Canis lupus familiaris: one gene and its partner. The protein of the gene in region 1 purifies or fractionates together with the protein of each later gene. This does not show direct contact. Links are inferred from orthologs where the notes say so. Each region holds a gene or a part of one and is shown in the gene's direction. Other genes may lie near its edges.

The links.
Region 2: the proteins of NRBP1 (region 1) and TSC22D2 purify together in Homo sapiens (affinity purification with mass spectrometry; 5 studies listed by BioGRID and IntAct, with this or other methods). This does not show direct contact. The link is inferred for Canis lupus familiaris from reciprocal best matches to the Homo sapiens genes NRBP1 and TSC22D2.

What each region holds. Positions count from the first base shown.
Region 1 is NC_049238.1:21,440,632-21,444,929, forward strand, and holds the start of NRBP1 (nuclear receptor-binding protein), read left to right. Parts: upstream 1-1,498; 5' UTR 1,499-1,731; coding exon 1,732-1,903; exon of another isoform or gene 1,904-2,005; intron 2,006-2,366; exon of another isoform or gene 2,367-2,502; intron 2,503-2,528; exon of another isoform or gene 2,529-2,554; coding exon of another isoform or gene 2,555-2,705; exon of another isoform or gene 2,706-2,763; intron 2,764-4,298. UniProt on the Homo sapiens protein: Required for embryonic development. Plays a role in intestinal epithelial cell fate and proliferation, thereby involved in the architectural development of the intestine potentially via the regulation of Wnt-responsive genes.
Region 2 is NC_049244.1:45,606,790-45,610,750, forward strand, and holds the start of TSC22D2 (TSC22 domain family protein 2), read left to right. Parts: upstream 1-1,161; 5' UTR 1,162-1,330; coding exon 1,331-3,252; intron 3,253-3,961. UniProt on the Homo sapiens protein: Reduces the level of nuclear PKM isoform M2 which results in repression of cyclin CCND1 transcription and reduced cell growth.

The sequences.
Region 1 (4,298 bases):
CATCGGGCTTCCTGCTTCCTGCATGGCACCTGCTTCTCCCTCTGCCTGTGTCTCTCATGAATAAATAAAATCTTAAAAAAAAAAGAAAAACAAGGAGTAATTTGAAAAAGATTATGTATTATCAGCTTGCTTTCATTTTAAATTATATGCACATATATTAATACATGCACAGAAAAATGGATACATACATCAAAATCTTAATTCTTCTGTTGAAATAGGATTACAAGAGATTTTCACATTCTATAGCAATTGTTAATTCACAATATTCCATAGGATTCCTGTAAGGATTAAATGAGTTAATATGTCATAAGGCAATTGAAACAGTGGACCATAGCACATAGAAGATATTACATAAATATTTTTGAAATATTGTTTACAATAAATTTTATTAAAGCAGAATAAAATGAGGTGGCGAAAATGCAGTGTTTGAGCTGTTTAAACATGAAAAGTTAGAAATAAAATGAGAGCTGGAGGACGCCAATGGGTCCTCTATGCATATTTGAAAGAAGGAGTTAGTTAAAAAGGAAAGGTTAATAATGATAAGGTCCAAACAGAAGAGAATGGGAAACTATAATAATATTAACTGATATTTAATGAATGTTTATAGGGGAGCAGGTGCCCCAATTGCCTTGGAGCCCACAAGGAGAAAGGGTTAACCTGGAGAAAGGGAGAAACAACCTTCCTTTGAAGATTAGAACAAAAAGATTTTTAACTTCAGTCTTTTGAAATTATATGCTAAATTTAGGGGACAAATTCATTTCCTAAATATCCAAAACAAGATCCATAACTTTCATCAGATTTCTAAAAGAATGTGTGAGCCCTCTGAAACGTAAAAGAATCAAGGATGAAAGATTGGTTGCAAAAGTATTTTGAGATGAAGAGATAAGAAAACGAGAGGGCTTTTGCCATATATTCTTCTTTACATTAGTTAAGAGGATTAAGAGATACCCTTTAAGGACAGTGAAATTTAGTGATTATCGCATTGCCAAGTTCTGAAAACCGATTCATCCTCCTCCCTTCAAAATACACGTCTAATGGCAGAGCGAATTTCTACCGCTCAGGCTCAGCGTTTAGTTTTCGCAGACCAATGGGCTCACCCCGGATCTTTCCCTTTCACTTCCTTGAAGTCAATCCAAATTCTTTCCAAACATCTTTTCAAGGAAGCCTTTGATAAATCTTACTGTTTGGATGCTAGATTTGGCTCCTATCAACTTTTGGTGAATAGCCTTAATGCCTCTGATTTCGTTTTTTGCATGTGTCAGTTAGCCTTTCAATTTCTTATACGGATCAAACGAGTCATCTGTGAAAACCTCCTGCAAAGTTTTGGCAAAGGTCGGTGCTATGCAATTTTCAGGATACGTTCAGGAAAAATTTTAAGCTGAAGAACTGGTGTCCTGCGCAGTCTCGCCCCTTACAAATAATGAAAGTGGGTGGGCGCTCCTCCCGGTGTGAGGCTACGTCTTTCGCTCCTTTTGTCTTTTAGTCGGAACAGAACTGTCATGGCGCCTTCAAGAGGAGACGGAAGGCCTTCCTTTCGCCCGGCGGACTCATCGGGGGCACCTGGACTGGACGGAGGGGTGGACAGTGAGACCAACCCCAGCCGAGACCCAACACACCGATGCCTCCGAGAGGTCTCAACCGGACAGGCTCAAGGGGAGGAGACCGGCTTGGAGACTATGGCAGCGAGCGGCCGTCTTCCCGGGGCACCGCCCACCTTGGCCGCCCCATCCAATGGCAACCCAACGGCAGTGCGGCACCGCCCATCTGTTGGTCGGGACGCCGCGAGGGCGGGGCCCGCAGTTCGGTTGCGCTGCGGAGCGCAGCTGTGAGGGAGTCTCTCTGGTCCGCGGCCCCGAACCCGAGCTGGAGCTGAAGCGCAGGCTGCGGGGAGCGGAGTCGGGAGGTGAGCGCCGAGGGGAGGGAGCGGGAGGGACGGGTTCGGCGACCGGACAGAAGGGTCGGCTTCCGCGGCCCGACGCGCCGGGACCCCGGCAGGCGGGTGTCTGGAGGCTGCTCTGCTCGCTCGGCGGCCCGAGGCCCGGCCCGCCGGAGCCCAGGGGCCGCCCCGGCCCCACAGTCTCGGCCGGGCCCTCCCGGCCTGCCCTGAGTGGCGGCCACCCGGAATTCTGCCGGCGCGGGGCGCGGGGCGCGAGGCCCTGGCGTTCGTGTCGAACTGGGGCTGACGAGAGGCGGGGCCGGCCGCGGGGGCGGGGGCGGCGGTGGCGGGCCCCGCGGCCTGCGGAAGCGCAGCGTCGGGGCCGCGCCTGCTGGCGGAGGCCGGCGCGCCGACAGCGCGGGGGCGTGGCCTGCGCCCCTGACGGCGCCGCGGGGCTGGCCTTTGATGAGGTGGCGGCGGCTGGCTCCCGGGCCTGCGGGACCCGCGGCGCTCGCAAGCAGACGGCGGGCAGGGGACCTGTTGGAGCGTGAGGCCGTTCCCTGCGCTTGCTTTGACGTCTGACCACACAACCCTGTGGGTCCCGGAGGCCCTGTGGTCGGCTCGGGGTGAGGGCAGCCCAGAGGCCTGTGGCCTGCGAGCTGTTGCTGAGGAGTTGAAATGCAGAGGGGCTGCAGTCCAGTAAATGAAAGTCTCCGAGAAAAACTTTGCGCGACGATCTACCTACACTGCTCAGAAGTGAACACAGTATTCTCGGGGTGGCTGGAAGCGGCGAGGAGATTCCCTTGTAGGGGCGTGAATGGCCTTTTCCGTATGTGATCTCTTAAACCTCTGAACGACCCTGAGAAGAAAACCCCAGCGTTGCAAAGGTTTCTTCATCGGGAGGGGAAGTGCTAGGGCATCTTGGGCAGTGCCTTGGTTTTGCCTGCTGGGGAAAGATTGGGGAGGGAGAAAACAAGGACACGGCTGTGACTGGTAAAGGTTTGGCTTCTTTTGTGGTGCTTTACTGTGGATTGTCTGTGACCTGGGTCAAGAGGTTTCCTTAGAATCCATTGGCTACAGGCTTCCTGTATTGGAGCTCCAGTGGTATTTCCTATTGTCATCTAGCTGGAATTTTTACTGAGCTGTTCAGATTCAAGATGCATTCTATAAATATAGCTGCTCTAGAAAGTAATCCCTATGAACTTTCTTACCATTTTCTTAGTTGCTTTTCAGGGGGGAAGAAAAAGGAAAGTGATCTCTAACTGGTGTTCTGGTACATTACTAAGACAGCTTTCTTGTCTGGTTGAATAAAGTCTATGATAGGCAGGACCTAGATAATAACAGGCAAAGAATATCTTGCCAGATTTTCTCTGTAGTGCTTTATGGTTATCTGGTATTTACTAGAATGTCATCTTAATAAGAATCTGATTTGGGTTAAACATAGTGTAAATTGGGGGTGGAGATTGGCAGAAGGGAGTATCCAGGAGTTCTAAAATAAGAGCTTTTTGAAAGATTGTTGTTGATCAGAGGCTTCTGTATTCTGAATTTAGAGGAGGAAGTCTACTTTCCAGAATGTCACTTTCATATGGAGCACTCCTTTGAGCCCAGCACACACAGGTTTCAGCTCCGTCATAGCCTTTGTTCTTAGAGAGATGGAATAACATTCAGTGGTTGTCCTGCAACTGTCTGGATAAGTTAGCGACATTTAGCTTGTGAGAATTCTTTTTCTTCCAAATAGCCATGTGCCTTAAAAAAATATTGTACTATATAGTATTTTTTCTTGTAACTGCTGTATTTTGAGTTATTTGTTCTTTTTAAAAATTTTTTTGTTTTAAAGATTTTACTCATTTATTTGAGAGAGAGTGAGCTTGAGCAGGGGAAGTGGGAGCCAGACTCGGGGCTCAATCCCAAGATCATGTCCTGAGCTGAAGGAAGATGCTTAACAGACTGAGCCAACCCGGCACTCCTTGAGTTATTTGTTTATGAGGGAATATCTCTGTCAGATCTGGTATCCCCGAGGGTGGAGCCTTTGAGCTGTTTGGATGAAATGAAAGCTGGAAGCTGAAAGTTCTAGATTTGTTTAAATTTGTGGTTCCATAAATGTGGGCATCTCATTTATTTTATTCACTATTTTATCTCTGGTACCTAGCCCAGTGCTTGGCCTACAGTAAGTGCTTAATAAATATTTGTTGAATGAGTGAATGAAAAAAAAATGTTGCTAACCAATACCCATTTGCACACTCACATCACAGGGGAGGTGAGGGCATCAGGGATGAAGTCACTAACCACTGCCAGTTACCTGGCCCAAGGGTATCCTCAGCATGGACTAGTAGACTTGATCTATGTGTAGGAGGGATGGATAGCAAATGCCAGAATTCTAGTGGAATAAATTAGCTTGAGGGTTTCATCTGGATAAATTGGC
Region 2 (3,961 bases), on another chromosome or scaffold:
GCTTCTCCAGGCTGCGCATTTAGGAGGCTTTGCGCTCTTCAACTCCTAAAGACCTGAAGCGTAAATGCTCAATTCAAAAAAAAAAAAAAAAAAAAATTTAAATTTAAAAAAAAAGCTCCCTTTTTTATTTTTTTAAACCTTTAGCCCCGCCCACCCTTCCCCTCCCCTCCCCTCCCCAAGCCTCCACGCGAAACTGCAGGAAACCGGAGGGGGCGGGGCGCTGACGTCACGACGCCGGCGCGTCACGGAACGGCGGCGGCTGCGGCGCTGGCGGTGGCTGCGGCAGCGGCGGCATTTTAGTCGACAGAGGCGGCGGCGGCGGCAGCGGGGCTGCTGCTCCTCCCAGCATCCCTGGCGCGGCCATTTCAGCCCCATCTTGGCCGAGGGGAGGGAGCTGCAGCCGCCGCTTGAGCAGTTTGAATTTTCAGTTTCTCCGGGGTCCGCCGACCCGGCGCACCGAGGAGGAGCCGAGGAAGCTCCCGCCGCTCGCTACCTCACGCAGCCGGAGCGTCTCCGCTCGCCGCCGCCGCCGCCGCCCCTCAGTCTTCTCAGGAGCCGCGCGGGGAGGCCGCCGCCGCCGCCGTCGCCGCCGCCCGCGGGGTGGCTCCCCCGTGAGGGGAGGACCGCGCCGGCCTTCCCTCCCTCCCCCGGAGCGGGCTTCCGCCGGAGACGGCCGACATGGCCCCGGGGCTGAGCTCCGGCTGACGCCGGGGAGGAGGGGGCCGCCCGCGGACCTTCAGCCCGCCCCAGCCCGCCCCAGCCCGCGGCTCCGGCCGGAATCCGGACTCCCCGGCTCCGGACTCGCCGCCGCTTCCCCTGCTTCCCGGCGCTGACGAGCCCGAGCGGGGCCGCGCCGCCCCTCACGCCGCCCCTCGCGCCGCCGCCGCCGCCGCCGCCGCCCCGCCGCCCTCCCGCCGCCCTCCCGCCCCCGGCCGAGGCCTGCGGACCGCGCCGAGCGCCGAGCTGCGCCGACCACGGCGGCCCCGGCGCCGGGAGCAGGAAGCCGGCCGCCCGCCCCTGCCCTCGCGCCCGCGCCCGCGCCGCCGCCGAGGGGATTGAATTGAGGCGCCGCGGCTGCGGGAGGCGACGAGGAAGGAGGAGCGGCCGCGCGAGGGCGTCGGGGGGCAGAGCCGGAGGAAGCGGCGCGGAGGGATGCGTCCCGGAGCGGCCGGCGCCCCGAGCGGCCGGGGGCTCTGAGCAGCGGCCGCCCGGCCTCCCCGACCCCAGCGCGGACTCGGACTTTGCCTCCTGGGGGCCCCCCCTTGCCGGTTTCCGGCCACACCGCGGAGGAGCCGGCGCGCCTCTCCGCCCCCCGCCGGCCTCCCTCACCATGTCCAAGATGCCGGCCAAGAAGAAGAGCTGCTTCCAGATCACCAGTGTCACCACCGCCCAGGTGGCCACTAGCATCACCGAGGACACCGAGAGCCTGGACGACCCGGACGAGTCGCGCACAGAGGACGTGTCCTCCGAGATCTTCGACGTGTCTCGGGCCACCGACTACGGCCCCGAGGAGGTCTGCGAGCGCAGCTCCTCCGAAGAGACGCTCAACAATGTTGGGGATGCGGAGACTCCCGGGACCGTGTCCCCGAACCTCCTGCTGGACGGACAGCTGGCGGCCGCGGCGGCGGCTCCCGCCAACGGAGGAGGAGCCGCGGCGGCCCGGAGCGTGGCCGGCGCGCTGGCCGGTACCCCGGCGGCCCCCTCGGCGGGGGCACCGGGCGCCCCCCCGGCGGCGGGCTCGTCCGCCGGGCCTGGGACTGCGGCCCCAGCACAGCCCCCCACCACTTGCAGTTCCCGTTTTCGAGTCATCAAGCTGGACCACGGGAGCGGGGAGCCCTACCGACGCGGCCGATGGACGTGCATGGAATACTATGAGCGGGATTCAGACAGCAGCGTCCTGACCAGGTCCGGGGATTGCATTAGGCACAGCAGTACTTTCGACCAGACTGCGGAGCGGGACAGCGGCCTGGGCGCCACCGGAGGGTCGGTGGTGGTGGTGGTGGCCTCCGTGCCGGGGGCGCACGGGCCCGACTCGGGAACTGACAGTTCCCTGACTGCTGTGTCACAGCTACCCCCGTCGGAGAAAATGAGCCAGCCCGCCCCGGCCCAGCCGCAGAGTTTTGGCGTTGGGCAGCCACAGCCACCGCCGCCCGTAGGTGGGGCTGTGGTTCAAAGCGCGGCTCCGGTGCCGCCGTTCCCGGGAGCCGCGGCCGGGCCACAGCCAATGATCGCGGCCCCGCAGCCAAGCCAGCCCCAGGGAACCGGCCCCGGCGTCCTCCCGCAGGGCCCCAGTGGACAAGGGCTGCCGCTGACGAATGTAACCCTGCCGCAGCAGCCGGGCCCCGCGGTCGGCGCTCCTGCGACGCAGCAGCCCCAGCCGTTCGCGTACCCCCAGCCTCAGCTACCGCCCGGGCATTTGCTGCCAGTCCAGCCCGCGGGGCAGAGTGAGTACCTACAGCAGCACGTGGCCGGCCTGCAGCCGCCAAGCCCCGCGCAGCCCTCGTCCACCGGCGCCGGAGCGAGCCTTCCCGTGGGCGCCGGCCCGACTGCCGCCGCGGTGGGGGCGCAGATAATGGGCGTGGCTTCCCTGCCCGGCGAGGCCGTGGCCCCGGGGCCGGGACCCGCGCCCGGAGGACAGGCGGCGCCCGGTCAGCCGGCCGGAGTGCCCCTGGCTGCTCTTGGATGCGCGGTGCAGCCGGGCCTGGTCCCCCCTGGGACCGTGCAGCCCCAGTCCGTGCCTCCGCCGCAGATGGGTGGCAGTGGGGCGCCGGCAGCCGTGCCCGGCGGCCCCCACGCCGTTCTACCCGGAGTTCCAAACGTGCCTGCAGCCGCGCCCGCTCCAAGCGTGCCTAGTGCGTCTACCACCTCCATTACTATGCCAAATGTCCCCGCGCCGCTGGCCCAGTCGCAGCAGCTGAGCAGCCATACGCCCGTCAGCCGGAGCAGCAGCGTAATCCCGCACGGTGGGCTGCCCTTAGCGCCAGGCACACCCAGTGCACCGACGAGTCTACCGCAGGCTGACCTAAGCCAGTTCCAGACTCAGACCCAGCCTTTGGTCGGGCAAGCCGACGATACCAGAAGAAAATCAGAACCCCTACCTCAACCACCACTTTCTCTCATTGCTGAAACTAAGCCTGTCGTGAAGCCTCCTGTTGCAGATGCCCTGGCCAACCCCCTTCAGTTAACACCTATGAACAGTCTCGCCACCTCTGTGTTCAGCATAGCTATTCCCGTGGATGGCGATGAAGACAGGTATGGAAATCTTCCTTAAAATACTTGATAGGAACCCTTGACCAAACACTAGTTTAGAATGCAACTTAAGAGTTCTTCGCCCCCCCCCCCCCCGCAGTTTGAGGCCCTTAGCATTTTTTAAATAGACAAATTGCGTTTTTAGTCAGATTGATTTGTCAGTTTTTGAAAAGGCGTTAGTTTTAGATTGCTAATGTAAAGGTGTGTGATGAGAGAATTGGTCTTGTCACAGTCATTTAAGAGCATTGAATTGGATAAGGATACAACGTTTGTTCATTCAGAAAGATGGGTTTAAGCTTAATTTTCTCGATTTACAGGTGGTACCTGGTAGATTATGCCCCATAGCATTTTCTTAGGTAACAATCACACCTGAACGCTTATGGCAGAGTTTTGTCAGTGTGAGTTTGGAGACCAGGACATACAATTAGAAGTTTCCCATTCTGGAAAACCAGAGGTCGTATAATAGGGATAGATCCATGTAAGGAATCTCCTCCAGTGTGTCTGCAAAGGCTGGAGAGAGTGGTGAAATGTCATGTCTGGCTTTGAAGATCATATCGTCCTCCAGCCTTTTTAATAAAAGAACATAGAAGGTCAGGAGGCTTCCCAGTGACATCGTTAAGACCCCCCCCCCTTTTTTTTTAAAGCAAAAGGTGTGTTATCATCCATCAGTTTTTTGTTTTGTTTTGTTTTGTTTTACTATAGAAAGGGAGGT